Macaca fascicularis: one gene and its partner. The protein of the gene in region 1 binds, or shares a complex with, the protein of each later gene. Links are inferred from orthologs where the notes say so. Each region holds a gene or a part of one and is shown in the gene's direction. Other genes may lie near its edges.

What was found. Proteins that work in one complex are often made in the same cells at the same time.
Region 2: TUBGCP5 (region 1) and tubulin gamma-2 chain share a complex: the UniProt entries of both Homo sapiens proteins name them as parts of the gamma-tubulin ring complex. The link is inferred for Macaca fascicularis from reciprocal best matches to the Homo sapiens genes TUBGCP5 and TUBG2.

The regions. Positions count from the first base shown.
Region 1 is NC_088381.1:483,207-486,767, forward strand, and holds part of TUBGCP5 (gamma-tubulin complex component 5), read left to right. Parts: intron 1-197; coding exon 198-380; intron 381-515; exon of another isoform or gene 516-830; intron 831-2,711; coding exon 2,712-2,796; intron 2,797-2,895; coding exon 2,896-3,016; intron 3,017-3,464; coding exon 3,465-3,561. UniProt on the Homo sapiens protein: Component of the gamma-tubulin ring complex (gTuRC) which mediates microtubule nucleation.
Region 2 is NC_088390.1:63,716,551-63,720,907, forward strand, and holds the start of tubulin gamma-2 chain, read left to right. Parts: upstream 1-1,544; 5' UTR 1,545-1,766; coding exon 1,767-1,815; intron 1,816-2,096; coding exon 2,097-2,209; intron 2,210-2,411; coding exon 2,412-2,579; intron 2,580-2,892; coding exon 2,893-2,961; intron 2,962-3,450; coding exon 3,451-3,477; intron 3,478-3,824; exon of another isoform or gene 3,825-4,206; intron 4,207-4,357. UniProt on the Homo sapiens protein: Tubulin is the major constituent of microtubules, protein filaments consisting of alpha- and beta-tubulin heterodimers. Gamma-tubulin is a key component of the gamma-tubulin ring complex (gTuRC) which mediates microtubule nucleation.

The DNA.
Region 1 (3,561 bases):
TCTCGGCCTCCCAAAGTGCTGGGATTACAGGCTTGAGCCACCGCGCCCGGCCTAAGAGGTGTTAATATTTCTAATTTTAGTAAATGTAGAATGTAAACTTGTTTCACTAAAAACAGGGTACAAAACCTGGTGTTGATCCAGAATCCTGCCTTACGAACACCAGAGATCTTTGTGTCACTCATTTTATCTCCATGCAGGTTGGTAGAATACTTGCAAGCCATGAGAAATTTTTTCTTAATGGAAGGAGGAGATACCATGTATGACTTCTACACATCCATTTTTGATAAAATAAGAGAAAAGGAAACATGGCAGAATGTGTCTTTTCTTAATGTCCAACTCCAAGAAGCAGTAGGACAGCGTTATCCTGAGGATAGTTCACGGTAAATTATGGAAGCCACCTTTATTTAAATTAGTATAACATGAACTGTGTGCCAATAAGTCATCTATGAATTACACAGATTATTTTATTCTCATACTATTCCTATGAGTTTTACTAATATTATTTTACTTATTAGAAAATGGAGGCCAGGCACGGTGGCTCATACCTGTAATCCCAGCACTTTGGGAGGCAGAGGCGCTGGATCACCTGAGGTCAGGAGTTCGAGACCAGCCTGGCCAACATGGTGAAACTCCATCTCTACTAAAAATACCAAAAGCATGGTGGCAGGCACCTGGAATCCTGGCTACTTGGGAGGCTGAAGCAGGAGAATCTCTTGAACCTGGGAGGCAGAGGTTGCAGTGAGCCAAGATCACGCCACTGCATTCCAGCCTGGGCGTCAAGAACGAGACTCCATTTTAAAAAAAAGAAAATTGAGGCAGAGGCCAGCTAAGTGAGTCTGCCGCTAAACAAGAAAAGATGTTGAGATGCCACCATATGGCCAGGTGCAGTGGCTCATGCCAGTAATCCTAGCACTTTGGGAGGCCAAGTTGGGAGGATTGCTTGAGCTCAGGAGTTTGCAACCAGTCTGGGCAACATAGTGGGACCTCGTCCCTACAAAAAAAAGTTGCCACCATCCAGCCTGTCAGGGTCTGGTGGCCTCCTTCACATGGCTGGAGCCAGTGCTTCCTCTCTCTCAGCTCCCACACGTGAGGTTTATCAGTCCCGCCTCCTAGAGAATGCCCCTGACCTCACAGAACTGGCTCAGACCTCCCCGATGGCCTGTCTCTCTCAGCCTCACTGCCTTCCACCAAAACAGACTTGACCCTCACCAGAGTGACCTCAGACCACCAGCAGTGACTTCCACCACTCATGCGTGTGCTCGCCGTGGGTGCCTCCTAACAAATGGACTAAGCTTTGTCTCAGAAGGGAGAAAGCTATTAACTGTCTGGCTCCGTTTTCCCAGCCTCATGTGTTGCACCATACACACCACGTTCTCTCTCTTATCTCACTTTGCATTTCAGGGATCTCAGAATATTTCTGGTGTCTGCACGTGCTGTCCTCTCGCCTCCCTGTGACATACTCTCCAATTCTTGGGCCCGGCAGAGGTCTGCTCACTCCTGCATCTTCATGTGCTGCGCTGGGCTGGGAGTCCCTGGAGGGAAGAGAGAGTGGCTTTCTATTGCCTGCTCAGTGCAGCAGCTAACTTAGTATTGAATTTGGTAGATATCTACTGAGCACTGAGTGAATGCGTGCATACCAGGCCATTAAGAGCTAAAAATTCTTTTTTTTGAGACGGAGTCTTGCTTTGTCGCCCAGGCTGGAGTGCACTGGTGCGATCTTGGCTCACTGCAAGCTTCGCCTCCAGGGTTCAGGCCATTCTCCTGCCTCAGCCTCTTGAGTAGCTGGGACTACTGGCTCCCGCCACCATGCCCGGCTAATTTTTTTTATTTTTACTAGAGATGGGGTTTCACCGTGTTAGCTAGGATGGTCTCGATCCAACCTCGTGATCCGCCTGCCTCGGCCTCACAAAGTGCTGGGATTACAGGTGTGAGCCACCGCGCCTGGCCGAGAGCTAAAATTTCTGACTAGTGCCTGTGTCACAATCAGCCAGTTCATAATCACACTGCCCTTTGACAGCTCTGGTGTGGAAGTTCACTCCCCACTTTAAACCTTCTTCATATGCATGCAGGCATCCCCTCTTAGTGCCTCTGTGACCGTGAAAGAGGACATTTCTCAGGAACCACTGATGGGACTATTTTGAGGATTAAATGAGCTAAGGACACATAATAGTGCCTGGCACTTGGACATTTTCATGTCCATGTTAGATGCTTGCTTTCCCATATGAGTCATGTTCAAACCTGTCTCGAACTCGTGGATGAAGCACTGCACAACACCTCTGGTGTAGAAGCAGACCCCGTCCCATCTTGATGGGGCTCTCAAAGCAATACTCTCACCGCATGCTAAGCTCCCTCGAGCTGTTCTGCTCGTCCTCCCCTGCCCACCCCCAACCTCAGCAGAGGCTTCATCTTCCCAGCCATTGCCTGAGGTTTACTGTCTTCCTCAGCTTCATCTTTTTTCTAATTACTACCATTGTTGTGTCTCTTCTACAACTAAACTCATTATGTAAAAGCTTTCCCCCTCTCTGTTATTTCTAAATCCAAATTTCAGCTCTGGAATATATGTTAGAAAAGATACATTTGTTGAAATGTTTGCATTTCTTTTATGAAATGCAGTATCTTTTGGGGAATATTGTGTAAATACTAATTATTTTAAAAGGATTTTTGTGTGACATAGTGCTTTCACAAACTAAAACTGAAATTTCTTTCTTTAGTCTATCTATATCTTTTGAAAATGTTGACACAGCTAAGAAGAAACTGCCTGTTCATATCTTAGACGGTCTGACCCTCAGCTACAAGGTATATGCTTATATTATTTGTATGAACAGTGTTTTCTACTAAAATTAAAACATGCAAGTAATTGGTTATTTCTGTTCTAATTGTGTTTTTGTTTCATAGGTCCCATGGCCCGTGGACATTGTTATAAGTTTGGAATGTCAAAAAATTTATAATCAAGTGTTTCTTCTCTTACTGCAAATAAAGTGGGCAAAATATAGTCTGGATGTTTTACTTTTTGGTGGTAAGATTTGTTTTCAGCAGATAAATTGTAATTTAATTTAATTTTAGCCCTTAATAAAAGAGGTTGGTGGGGAAGGGAAGCATACGGAGATCTGGAAAAAAGAAAAAAAAGAGGTTGGTGGTTGTCGATCTTTTTTTATGTGTATAGAAATGCCAAAATGGTGCGTATTCCAGCAGTGGGTTTACGGATGTCAAATACCTGAAAGAAAGATCAGGAAGTTGTATGTACAGTTGATCTGAAATGCAACAACTTGGTTAGGAAAAGTGATACAGGGAACTTTCCCCACTCTTCCAGAGGCACTGAGGTTCGGTTCCTGCCACCCCTGCCATTGCTTTCTGTGGTACCAGGGCCACATCCCTCCGAGTTTCTGCCAAAAACAGGCATCATGGTGCAGTGGGGCTTGAGTTGATGCTCTTTCTGTCCACTGTGCTCTTCCCATCTTTTATAGAACTGGTTAGTACTGCGGAAAAACCACGACTTCAAGAAGGCCTTGTCCGTGAACAAGACACAGTTGCTCAGTTCGGACCACAAAAAGAACCAGTAAG
Region 2 (4,357 bases), on another chromosome or scaffold:
TTTATGGATGAAAAAGGGCAGAGAAAAATAGAAACAGAAGAAAAAAAAGTAGATTGGTCATTTCAAAGTTACTTGTCTTGTAAAGGTTAAAGAAGAAAGGACTTCCGTATCATGCCGGCTAAAACTGGCCTGTTTGGGGTTTTGGCTGTTCCTTCTCTCTCCTGATTCCTCTGAAGGTTTGATAAACAACTTAGTGTTGCTTAGTGACATGGAACTTTAGCATGAGTGACTCCATTTTGGTTTGGTCTGTTGGGCCTAGCACAGGAGCTCAGTGCAAACCAATAGCCTCCTATATAATTGAACCCTTGTGCATCGCTGGTGGGAATATAAAATCGCTGCAGCTACCATGGAAAATCATATGGCGATTCCTCAGAACATTAAACAGAATTACCATAGGATCCAGCAATTCTATCTGTGGGTGTATATCCAAAATAATTGAAAGCAGAGACTCGAACAGATATCTGTACACTCACATTCAAAGCAGCAACATTCACAACAGCCAAAGGGTGGAAGCAACCCAAATGTCCATGGAGGGATGAATGGTTATGCAAAATGTGGTACATCTATACAACGTAATATTATTCAGTTGTAAAACGGAAGGAAATTCTGACACATGCTACAAAATGGAAGGATCTTGAAGATATTAAGTGAAAGCAGCCAGACCCAAAAAGACAAATACTGTATAATTCTACTCATATCAGGTGCCTAGAGTAGTCAAGGGGAAGTTACTGTTTAATCGCTATAGAGTTTCAGTTTGGGAAGATGAGAAAGTTCTAGAAAAGAATGGTGGTGACGGTTACAGAGCAATGTGAGTGTACTTGATGCCACAGAACTGTATGCAGTAATTACAAATGGTTACAGTGGTAAATTTTGGCCAGGAGTGGTGGCTCATGCCTGTAATTCCAGCATTTTGGGAGGCCGAGGTAGGAGGATTGATTGAGGTCAGGAGTTCAAGACCATCCTGGGCAACACGGTGAGATCCTCATCTTTATAAAAATACATTTTAAAAATTTAAAAATTACCTGGGCGTGGTAGCACACGCCTGTAGTCCCAGCTACTCGGGAGGCTGAAGTGGGAGGATCACTTAAGCCAGAAGTTCGAGGCTACAGTGAGCTATGATCTTACCACTGCACTCCAGCCTGGGCGACAGAGCGAGACACTTCTAAAAAATAAAAAATGAAAAGGTAACATACATGTGTATGTATTGTAACACCATTGAAACATAGAAATTTAAACGAAGAAAAGCTGGCTTCTAGCCCTTGGACCTAGCAAAGCTGGCAGAGTCCTCACCTACCAATATAGGTAGGTGACTCCTTACACGTGGACAAGCACGTCCACCTGGTCGCTTCGCCCCTACCCTCCCCTCCCTTCCCCTTCCCGCGTCTCCCCTCCCTTCCCCTTCCCGCGTCTCCCCTCCCCTCCCCTCCGCTCCCCTCCCCTCCCCCACACATCCATGTTCCGACCCTGCCACCCCTAACAAGTCTCACTGCGCAGGCGCGGAGCGGTGGGCAGGAGCAGGCGTGGCCTGACTGTGCGCTTGTGCCGAATTCCAGCTGCGACTGCTGAGGAAGAAAATGATGCCCAGGTTGGGCTCCACGGCCCACCGGCCGAGGAGAGGCCTGCGCTGCACACGCGCAGACCGAGCATCCGCGTCAAGAGGCGAAGAGAGCGCGCGCTCCCCACGTCCTGCGCGCCTGGCTGCCAGGCATTCGTCTCAGCCGTGACTCTCGCCAGGCCGGGGCTGGGGCGCCCACGTCTGAAGAGCGATGCCCCGGGAGATCATCACCCTGCAGCTGGGCCAGTGCGGCAACCAGAGTGAGCAAGCGAGCGCCGCCCCCACCGGTCTCTGGTTCTGCCCCTTTGGGTCCCACCCAAGTGCCTGGCTTCCACCAGTCCCCCTTCCCCTTCCATGAACCCCCTAGCCTGCTGCTCTGGATAACCCAGACCGAGAGCTGCGCTCCCAGCCCGGGACTGGGGCAGCCACCAGACCCAGGCATCTTGGGTCCACCCTCTGATCGTGTCGGCCTCTGAGACTAAAACTGGGCTCCTCAGGCCTTAAGGCTCCAGCAGACCCGGGCATCTCCCCCCTCCCCCAGTTGGGTTCGAGTTCTGGAAACAGCTGTGCGCTGAGCATGGTATCAGCCCCGAGGGCATCGTGGAGGAGTTCGCCACCGAAGGCACTGACCGCAAGGACGTCTTTTTCTACCAGGTGCCCCCAGCGACTTGGCCAAGGGCGGCAATGGCCCGAGGGGCCAGAAGGGAAGGGAGTGGCCTGGTACTGGGAACCCTGCTGGGCAGTGGGGCCAGGCGGCTGGCTTGAGGAGGGAGGGCTGGAGGGAGCCAGAGTTGGGAGGACTTAGGACTTGGGCCACCCTAGCTGATTGGGCCCCCTCCTGGACTCCCCTTGACAGGCAGACGATGAGCACTACATCCCCCGGGCCGTGCTGCTGGACCTGGAGCCCCGGGTGATCCACTCCATCCTCAACTCCCCCTATGCCAAGCTCTACAACCCAGAGAACATCTACCTGTCGGAGCATGGAGGAGGAGCTGGCAACAACTGGGCCAGTGGATTCTCCCAGGTGTCCGGGCGACTATTCCAGAGACCTTTGATAGTCCCATCCAGAGGCAAGGGAGGCTCAAGCTACTAGGAATTTGACCAGACTGCCAGAAAATAAGAGACAAAAGGATTCCCCAAACAAGAGGGACAGCCAGGGAGAGGTTTATGCAAATTTTGTGCAAATCATTTGCAATAGTAGCACTTCTGGGTTGAGGGCTACAGCCTAGGCTTTGCTTCAGGGTGGCAACAGTATTCCAGGGTAGACAGTGCTGTACTGAGAAAAGATGCGCTCTGGAACCTTTGGCCTGACCCTCCCTTTCCATGTCTCTATACAGGGTGAGAAAATTCATGAAGACATCTTTGATATCATAGACCGAGAAGCAGATGGAAGTGACAGTTTAGAGGTGAAGTTATGGAGTGGGGGAAGGAATGGGCAGGGAGGCTGAAGAGTGCTGGGGAAACGTCAGGAGGTGGCCTGGATAGGTGATGTGAGGGGAGCAATTCAATTCAAAACCCATTTATGGAGCATCAGATGTGGGATATTGAGGTGAATAAAATATAATCTTTGTTCTTAAGGAAGTCATAAATCTGAATGGCACTGGCCCCTTAGGCATGAGTCACTCAGCTTCTCCAGCTCCAAACCTTCCCAAGGAGCCTCAGCCTGGATGCGTAAGAGGAAGCTTTGAGACATGGGCGTTTTGGGAATGGGGAATGAGCCATGCCGAAGTCTTCCCCCAGATCCTTGGAGACTGCCTCTCCGTCTCTCCCCATGCTGGGCGCGATGTGTTCCTGGCTTACAACTCTTATAACCCATGTAATTTCCTAAGGGACTAGAGCAATAAGAGTATGTTTTGTTACAATATTTGACCTTTCGTCCTTGGTTTCTGAAACAGCTCCAGAACAGCTCCAGAGTGATAAAGGTGAAAGACAGTCTTTTGTTATTTATAACAAGCCCCTTTCTTTTAGATTAATCTTTCATTTTATTTTAATTAGTTAATTTTACTAACCGCTGTACTAAGGAGGAACAAGTGCATTTCAACCAAACCTGAGCTTATGTTAAAGAGGCGATTTTTTGGAAAGTCCCAGATAGCCACTGGATGGGGTGTTGGTTGCCAGGGGAACAAACCTGGTGCTCTGAGGGTTGGAATTTACAGGCCCATCCCTCACCTCTGGGGAAGGGAGAGGGATGAAGATTGAGTAGAGCACCAATTGTCAATGATTTAATCAGTCATGCCTGTGTAATGAAGCCTCCATAAAAATCCAAAAGGACTGAGTTCGGGGGCTTCCAGGAAGGTGAACAAGAACACATCCACAGGCCGGGAGGCTGCAAACCCAGCACCACAGGGCAGCAGCTCCTGTGCGCCGGAACCTTCCAGAGCTTCCCCTCGGTATCTCTTCATCTGGCTGTTTATTTGTATCCTTTAAAATATCCTTTATAACAAACGGGTAAACGTAAGTGGGTGTCTCCTTGAGTTCTGCGAGCTACTCTAACAAATTAATTGAACCCAAGGAGCAGTCCTGAGAACCCCAATTTATAGCCGGTTGGTCAGAGGCACAGATAAAACAACCTGAAGCTTGTATTGGCATTGGAAGTGGGAGAGTCTTGTGGGACTGAGCCTTCACTCTGTGGGATCCGATGCTATCTTTAGGTACGGATACTTCTCAACTTACAGTGGGTTTATCAGGACATCACAAATTGAAAATATTGACTAGGCACAGTGGCTCATGCCTGTAATCCCAGCACTTTGGGAGGCTGAAGCGGGTGGATCACCTGAGCCCAGGACCTGGGCAACATGGTGA